Linked DNA regions of Yarrowia lipolytica. The protein of the gene in region 1 interacts with the protein of each later gene in a pairwise test. Links are inferred from orthologs where the notes say so. Each region holds a gene or a part of one and is shown in the gene's direction. Other genes may lie near its edges. The genes, in order: YALI1_B27777g and YALI1_D36137g.

Region 1 (5,095 bases):
ATTAAAATCCTCAAATGTGTTTTTCTTTGTTCCCCCTTTTCCACAGATATTCTCTATAATATGAATTGATATTCAGGATTTCCGAAATGAAAGCTAGAAATTATACTGGGCTTGGCAGATTATTCTGTCGGAAGGGGTAAAAACACACAGTTCAATCCCTGGATGTCTGAGAGGAGGTATTCCCGAGACGCTTTGACTCGAGAAACTGCGTAATTCACCACAGCCCTTTTTAACCCTAGAAACACGATATTGCCTCAGACTCAAGTTCGAGGAGAGCTAACATTCAGGGTGAGACGTTGTGGAGGCGGGGGAGTTGTCTCATGATACTTAGATGAGTTCCGAACGCCTTGAAATAGTCGGGTGACAACAGACAGAGTGGCCTCGATGCCAGAGTCAGCTGTCTTTCTGTGTCAGTCCAGAGGGGGTGCAGTATATACAGTTTGAGGGGCTACCCTGTGGTTCAATCCGGTGTATGGTGCTTTACAGGATGGCAGGGTTATGAGATTTAATGGCGGGGTAGAGAGGAATTGGCACTTGTTCGAGCTCATAAAGAACATTTGGGAATATGCAATTATCAAAATTCGTCAGGGATAAAGCGTGTGTGGGTGTTGGATCTCCATTGAAAGAGGCAATAAGGGACTGACAACAATCTTAGAACTGTTGCTTGGAGAGTATGTATTTGAATATACGCTCTACAGAAGGATGGTAAAATGAAATATTTTATTAAACAGCCGTAAACGGGGGCTGACACGATGAAGCAGGCATTTTGGACTTTTACTCAACTGGTCGAAAGCTGGCCGATAGAAGTTGATCTGAACTTCATTAATTGTGCACAAGTGCTCTCTTCTCTTCTTGGATTTGAGAGCTGAAAAGGCTCAAATAATGACTTTTAGTAAGCCTTCAACTACTGGTTCTTTTCTCCAGCAGTGGAAGAGATACCCCAGGAGTTATGGGTAGCATTGTCATCGCACACACAGTTGATCCTCATGGTTGCCAAGGAAGTTGAGAGTGTCTTTCACGTTGAAAGAGTTTTTACCATCATTAGAGTAAGTGCCATCGACTCTAGAGGCATGATTTTGCTCTTGATAGCCATTCCGAGGCTGGTAACCTGAGAATCCCTGTCTCGCACACTTGCTCTGCGACAAGGACGTCAGACGTCGCAATGGGATTTCGAATTTTGCTACTGAGAAAGTCATATTAGAAAAAAGATGTTCCATCCACAATGGCATTCAAAAGTAGGACTGCGAGCCCTCAACAGCTCTCTACTAAGTGATTTATTGGAAGCGGAATCCACATGTGTGTACATAGCCCTTCTCTGATGGATTCTAAGAAGTCTTGCATACCACCTGATTACAATTAAGAAAAATCTCCCCAGTCATCGGGGAAAACATCACAATGGTTTCTCATTTCACTTCCAGTGCTCCGTAACCGGCCCTCACCCAGCACCCTATATAGACTACTATTTAGCTTTCTGTAGCGATGACCTTCTCATGAAACACAACTGAACCACATATCAACAGATTACACCAATGTATACATGGGAGATGAAGATGGAATTACCTGTATCGTCCATATTTATCGTTTGAATACAATGTTTGGGTCAAAACGCGTCGCCTGGCACTAATTAAGGAGTCCCCTGCCCCTTGCCTTTTTCAAAGTGCCAAAGTAAACCTCACATAATACTTGAACAATTGATACTGTAACATAATTTCCACTCCAACATCTACCTCTAAATCAACCCCAGGTAACTCAATTTCTTTCAAAATATGTTCAAGTGTATTTTCAAGTGTATACGCACAAATTTTACTGCAATAGATGTCAAGGGATTGTCCGAATCGCCCACTTTATGGACATACCCTTCGTTAAGGGTCCACTTGAACAACCTCAAACAATTACTAAACTACGCACTGAGCTGCGCGCATATCTGAACATAACGTAATGTATTTTCCACGACCACAATCCATAATAAAAATAGTTACGTAAATAGAAATGGACAACAATTATGCCTTATTTGTCACATCAACCTGCTACAGTACCTCCACCACCCCTGGTTCGTAACACATCCACATTCTCAAACACACAATTATACACAACCCTAACCCTACACCCAATCTCAAGACACGTTGCGTCAACATCTACAGTTGGCAACATACCACAGAAATGACGTCTCTGAAATCGTTCATCAAGTCCGTGCGTGCGGCCAAGACGCTAGCAGAGGAGCGGTCGGTGATCCAGAAGGAGTCTGCCGCCATCCGAACATCGTTCCGAGAAAACTACGTCGACCCCAACATTCGAAAACAAAATGTGGCTAAGCTGTTGTATTTGTTCACCTTGGGTGAGCGAACACATTTCGGTCAGGTGGAGTGTCTGAAGCTGATTGCTAGCCCGCGCTTCAGTGAGAAACGTCTGGGATACCTCGGTACTATGCTGTTGCTGGATGAGAACCAGGAGACCCTGACTCTGGTGACCAACTCTCTGTCCAACGATCTCAACCACCCCAACCAATACGTTGTGGCTTTGGCCCTGACCACCTTGGCCAACATTGCATCCACCGAAATGGGCCGGGATCTGTTCCAGACCGTCGACAAGATCATGTCGTCCAGCAACCCCTACCTGAAGAAGAAGGCTGCCGTGTGTGCTGCTCGAATCAGCAGTCGAGTGCCTGAATTGGCAGAAATCTTCGTCGAGAAGGCCAAGATTCTGCTCACAGATAAGAACCACGGCGTGCTGCTGTGCGGACTCACTCTGGCCACTGACATTTGTGTCCAAGACGACGAGATTCTCGAGCAGTTCCGACCCGTCGTGCCGACTCTTGTCAAGCTGCTGCGCCAGCTGTGCACCTCGGCTTACGCTCCCGAGCACGACGTGACCGGAGTTACCGATCCGTTTTTGCAGGTCAAGATTCTTGGTCTGCTGCGTGTGCTGGGAGCTGGAGACGCGTCTGCCTCTGACGCCATGAACGACGTGCTTGCCCAGGTGGCATCCAACACCGACTCCGCCAAGAACGTCGGCTCCTCTGTGCTGTACGAGTGCGTGCGAACTATTTTCGCCGTCGAGGCAGACACCGGTCTGCGAGTGCTGGGTGTTAACATTCTTGGAAAGTTCTTAGCCACCACTGACAACAATACGCGGTACGTGGCGCTCAACACTCTGCTCACAGTCATCGACATCGAGCCCGCAGCCGTGCAGCGACACAGAAACACCATTGTCGAGTGTCTGCGTGACGCTGACGTGTCTATCCGACGACGAGCTTTGGCCGTGGCATACGCTCTCATCAACGAGAGCAACGTGCGAGTCATTGTTAGAGAGCTGCTGACATTCTTGGAGTCTGCAGACGCCGAGTTCAAACCCTCGGTCACCGCCCAGATCGCCATTGCTGCTGAAAAATACGCTCCTAATAAGCGATGGCATATTGACACTCTGGTCCGGGCTCTGGCTCTGGCTGGAAGTCACGTCCCAGAGAATGTGGTCTCTTCGTTCATTGCTCTGGTCGTCACCTGCGACGAGGAGCTACAGCTGTACACTGTCCAGAAGCTGTACTCAGCTCTGCGGGCCGATTTCACCCAGGAGGGTCTGTCCCTGGCCTCGCTGTGGCTGCTTGGAGAGTTTGGCCACATTCTTATTCGATCCGGCAACTTCTCGTCGGAAGATGGAGAGTCCCAGGAGGTATCCGAGGAGTCTGTTGTCACCATGATCGAGAACCTGCTCAAGTCTGCCTACGCCTCTGATGTTGTGCAAGAGTACGGAGTCAACGCCCTGGTTAAACTCAGCACCCGAATCAACAATGCTACACAAAAGGAGCGGGTGCGACGAATCCTGGAGTCGTACGCTTCCTCTCTCAATGTGGAGGTCCAGCAGCGATCTGCCGAGTATACAAAGCTTTTCTCCAACATGGGTGTGGCCAAGGGTGTGCTTGAAAAGATGCCTGCTCCCGAGCTCAAGAACGATCTTGGCAAGAAGTACGCCAAGCCTAAGAAGGCCAAGAAGGTGACTGCTTCCAAGAAGGATGTCGACTTGCTGCTCGATCTGGTCATGGACGCCCCTGAGCCTGCTAACGGAGGAGGATCTTCTTCCGCAAACAACTCGGATCTCCTGGCCGACATTCTGGGACCCTCTTCTCCCTCTGGAGGTGCGTCCGTCGCCACCCCTAGCTCCAATCAAAACATTATGGATCTGTTTGGCTCAGGCGCCCAGTCATCCCCCGTCTCCACACCCGCCTCAGCCCCCGCTGCTGCGGCATCTACAATCTCCGCATACTCCGGCAACGGCCTGTCTCTGGGCTTTTCCGCTGGAACCGCCCAGGGCCTCACGGTGCCCATCACCGCCCACTTCTCCAACACCGGTGGCAGCCCCATCTCCAGCATTTCCCTCCAGGCCGCTGTGCCCAAGACACAGAAGCTCGCTCTGCAGCCACCAGCTTCCCAGAGCATTGGTCCTGGCAGCACCACCACTCAGCAGTTGCGAGTGACGGTACAGGGTGCTGGTGCTGCCGTCAAGTTGCGAGTCCGGCTGGGATTCTCTGTCAACGGCCAGCAGGTCCAGGAACAGTTTACCTTTGACAAGTTTGGTCAGGTGGTTTAAGTGGTATAACAATAATAGAGGGATAATAATCTATACTGTGTTGCAAGGAATTCAGTTTCAATCGGTATACTGCGTTGCAGTATAACTGTCGTAAAATGTATGTGATAGATTACATAAGCTAGAGATGTAGACTATAATATGGCGCACAGATAAGTGGAGATATAGTCATGTGGCCATTGAATTCGCACCGAAAAAAATAGATCAGATTAATATAATAAAGTACCCACAAATATCCCTACTTCATCCTACAATTCCCCGGCTAATTTTTCATTCTTCATCCCACGACTTTAACTTCCAACACCTCATATCATCACCGGTCGTCGAAACTCAATTTTCTCCATTGATTCATTCATCAACACACACAAAAAAGACAAAAAAGATGTCTGACAAACGACGAGCCGATCTTTGTGTGCCCTACGTGCATGTTGTCGACAAGCAGAACGACGCTCAGTCCTTCATCACCACCTCGCTGCCCATGGCTGCTATGTTCCTTCGAAACAAGCTCATGTCGTGG
Region 2 (3,575 bases), on another chromosome or scaffold:
GTCTCCACACGTTCTTCCTTCTTATACTCCTACACTTCGCTTCATATACACACATTTCACTCACCACACATACACAACATGGTACGAAACAGTGTGCGAGTGACCCGATTCGCCATTCTGGCGGTCGTGCTCATGTTCCTGCTCTACAAGCTGAGCTCCTCGTCCGTGGACATCAGCGGCATGGTATCCAACAGGACCAAGCCCGATCTGAACGAGTTCAAGACGGAGGTTGAGGAGACCAAGGACACAGTCGTCGAGCATGCCAAGGAGGCTGCCAATGACGTCAAGGAGGGCGCCGCGAAGGCCGTCGACTCCGCCCACAAGGTCGTGAACGCTGCCCCCTCTAAGTTCCAGCCCCTTACCGACTACCAGCGAGAGAACGCCACCTTTGTGACCCTGGCTCGAAACAGTGATCTGTGGGAACTGGTCGGATCTATCCGACAGGTCGAGGACCGATTCAACCACCAGTTTGCATACGACTGGGTTTTCCTTAACGACGCCGAGTTTTCCGATGAATTCAAGAAGGTGACCACCGCCATGTGCTCAGGTAAGACCCACTATGGTAAGATTGGCGAGGAGCACTGGGGATTCCCCGATTTCATTGATCAGGAGCGAGCTGCTCGAACCAGAGAGGAGATGCGACAGAAGCAGGTCATCTACGGTGACTCCATTCCCTACCGACATATGTGCCGATACGAGTCCGGCTTCTTCTGGCGACACCCTATCATGAACCAGTTCAAGTACTACTGGCGAGTCGAGCCCTCCATCAAGCTGCACTGTGACGTCAACTATGATGTGTTCAAGTTCATGCGAGAGAACAATAAGTCCTACGGTTTCACCATTTCTCTGTTTGAGTACGGCGCCACCATTGAGACTCTGTGGGAGACCACCAAGAAGTACATGCACCAGTTCCCCCAGATGGTCCACCCCAACAACCTGATGAAGTTCATTTCCGACGATAACGGAGAGACCTACAACAAGTGCCATTTCTGGTCCAACTTTGAGGTTGCTGACCTTGATCTGTGGCGAGGAGAGGCTTACTCCTCCTACTTTGACTACCTTGACCACGCTGGTGGATTTTTCTACGAGCGATGGGGTGATGCCCCTGTTCACTCCATTGGTGCTGCTCTGTTCGCCGACAAGGACTCTATCCACTACTTCGAGGACATTGGATACTTCCACAACCCTTTCAACAACTGTCCCACCACCGAGAAGATGCGACTGGATGGTCGGTGCATGTGCCAGGCCAGCGATAACTTCTCTTGGCACTCCTACTCTTGCACTGGCAAGTTCTTCGATGCTCAGGGCATGACCCGACCCGAGGGATGGGAGAAGCAGAAAAACTAAAAAGAGAAGGCTAGAGAGCGTTAACAGTAATTGCACTGGTTGTAGTTAATAGTTGAGAATTTTATTATATATAAAATAAGTGCGACAATTGTACGAGTACAAGTAATGGTGGCTGTGGATGAGCTACTTGTGATAGTAGCTACTTGTAAAAGAATCAATCGATTACATACGACCTTGTCGATTCTATTTTCTTTCAATTCTAGGGAGATACATTTCGTTCCAAAAATGCATGTGAACCGCTCGTTGTGTCATACAAATTGTACTTGTACTTGCTTATAGTATCGCGGTTGTTATAGTATGGTTTTGGGACATACACAGCCTAATTTGCATCTCTTAGCAGTCATTGAATTATGCCTAAGGAAAAAGATCACCGACAGGTAAATACCTCATCTAGTGACTTGATTTTTAATACTTCTCCCTTTTTAATCCCCTCCCTTCGCCTTTCAATAGCTCCAAGTAGCTACAAATAGTCCAACTCACGACAACTACAAGTAGCTTCACTCTGACTTCGTCGCCAATATAGTTTCATTGGGAACTGCAAGCGTGTCATCTGTCTTCACCACTCTCATCAAAGCATCTCAACACACACAACAAATGGCCATCCAATATCTGCTGTTGCTATCGCGTCAGGGCAAGGTTCGTCTGGCCAAATGGTTCACAACTCTCGGCACCCGTGAAAAGGCCAAGATCGTCAAGGAGGTTACTGCACTGGTTCTTTCCAGACGAACAAAGATGTGCAATGTCATTGAACACAAGGGTGAGTAAGATAAGGAGGACGTGACTGCGTTGGCTCGATGACTTACCAAGCGCGAGTTGGTTCACTTCTTGCTGAGCCACCGTCAGAAATTCTTCCAAGAAGAGTACCTCTACGAAACACCTCATCCACAATGAGTGCTGTGGCTTAGTTCATTGTGCTGTGAAGTGGCAAGAAGAGCGCTGCAGAGCTACACTTTCTTGGGGTCGGTAAAAATGGCTCACTGATCGCCGAGGTGTCTGATACCGAGCTATCGGAAACATTACAGCAGTAGTGACGACGCGAGAGAGAAAAGGAGCTGTGCGGCAGATGACGACAAGACTACACGACCCGTCAGAAGACTGCACAAAAGGAGTGGACAAATAAGTCACTTTGTATTGTTGATTCAATACTGCGGCAGTCTCCCAGTCCAGTGGGCAATGTTGTGTCCTCAGTGATGCACCACCACGAAAAAAGACTAACACAGAAACCAAGGTTGTTTTCAGACGTTATGCATCGCTATTTTTCATTACAGGCATCGACTCCGATGACAACGAACTAAACACTCTCGAAATCATTCACAGATACGTTGAGCAGATGGACAAGTATTACGGCAACGTGTGCGAGCTCGATATCATCTTCAACTTCCAAAAAGCATACTACATTCTCGACGAGATTGTGGTCGGAGGAGAGATCCAGGAGTCGTCGAAGCGAGAGGTTCTTAGACGAATCTCTCAGCAGGATGCTCTGGAGGCAGCCGAAAACGAGGAGGAGGGTCTGTCGAGACTATTGGCATAATTTGGGACTTTTAGAACATATGGGGTCGCGAGGTAGAATGAATGTACTCATACTAATACATGAGATGTATGTAGACAAATGGACAAATGAGTTTGGGAGCAGTCAGTTGCTCTGAAGCTCATAATATCGTCTCGGTCTCACAAATACAGTAGATTTACCCCTTTGTGTGTGTATGTGGTGAAGACCAAGTTACATAATCGGGTTAGGGTAGGACCCAAATACGGTGATTGCCGTGTTGTTAAATTACATCACAGTGCCTGTGAGAGGCACAAGTATCAAAATTGCGAGTTTCCGGTCAATTGGTCTATTAGTATTCGTCATCTATATATAATTTGCTTACTGGATGGTATGGGTGGCCTCAGCCTCCTTGAGAGTGAGCTTTCCGGAGTAGATCTCGTCGACTCGCTTGTTGATATCAGCGAAGGAGTGGAAGATGTTGTAAGGCAGAGACATCTTCTCGAGGTAGACAATCAGATCCTTGCCAGCCTTGGCGAACAGCAGATCTGTCTCCCTTGCGGCAGAGAGATCAGAGACACCGTCACCACAGTAGAACATGGTGGGTCGCTTGCCCTCGGGGAGCTCGGCGTAGGGCTTGATGCATCGGGACTTGTCGTGGCCAAAATGCGACTCGTCTCGGTAGACAATGTTCCACTCTCCATCAGGCTCGATCTTCACATCGTTAGCGATGATCTCAATG

What was found.
Region 2: the proteins of YALI1_B27777g (region 1) and YALI1_D36137g interact in binary tests that used the Saccharomyces cerevisiae proteins (3 or more experiments, as listed by UniProt). The link is inferred for Yarrowia lipolytica from reciprocal best matches to the Saccharomyces cerevisiae genes APL4 and APS1.

Annotation. Positions count from the first base shown.
Region 1 is NC_090771.1:2,775,582-2,780,676, forward strand, and holds YALI1_B27777g (uncharacterized protein), read left to right. Parts: upstream 1-2,160; coding exon 2,161-4,581; downstream 4,582-5,095. Other genes in the region: YALI1_B27805g (uncharacterized protein), read left to right, coding at 4,961-5,095. UniProt on the Saccharomyces cerevisiae protein: Adaptins are components of the adapter complexes which link clathrin to receptors in coated vesicles. Clathrin-associated protein complexes are believed to interact with the cytoplasmic tails of membrane proteins, leading to their selection and concentration.
Region 2 is NC_090773.1:3,612,592-3,616,166, reverse strand, and holds YALI1_D36137g (uncharacterized protein), read left to right. Parts: upstream 1-1,941; coding exon 1,942-2,104; intron 2,105-2,567; coding exon 2,568-2,878; downstream 2,879-3,575. Other genes in the region: YALI1_D36161g (uncharacterized protein), read left to right, coding at 79-1,347; YALI1_D36122g (uncharacterized protein), read right to left, coding at 3,215-3,575. UniProt on the Saccharomyces cerevisiae protein: Component of the adapter complexes which link clathrin to receptors in coated vesicles. Clathrin-associated protein complexes are believed to interact with the cytoplasmic tails of membrane proteins, leading to their selection and concentration.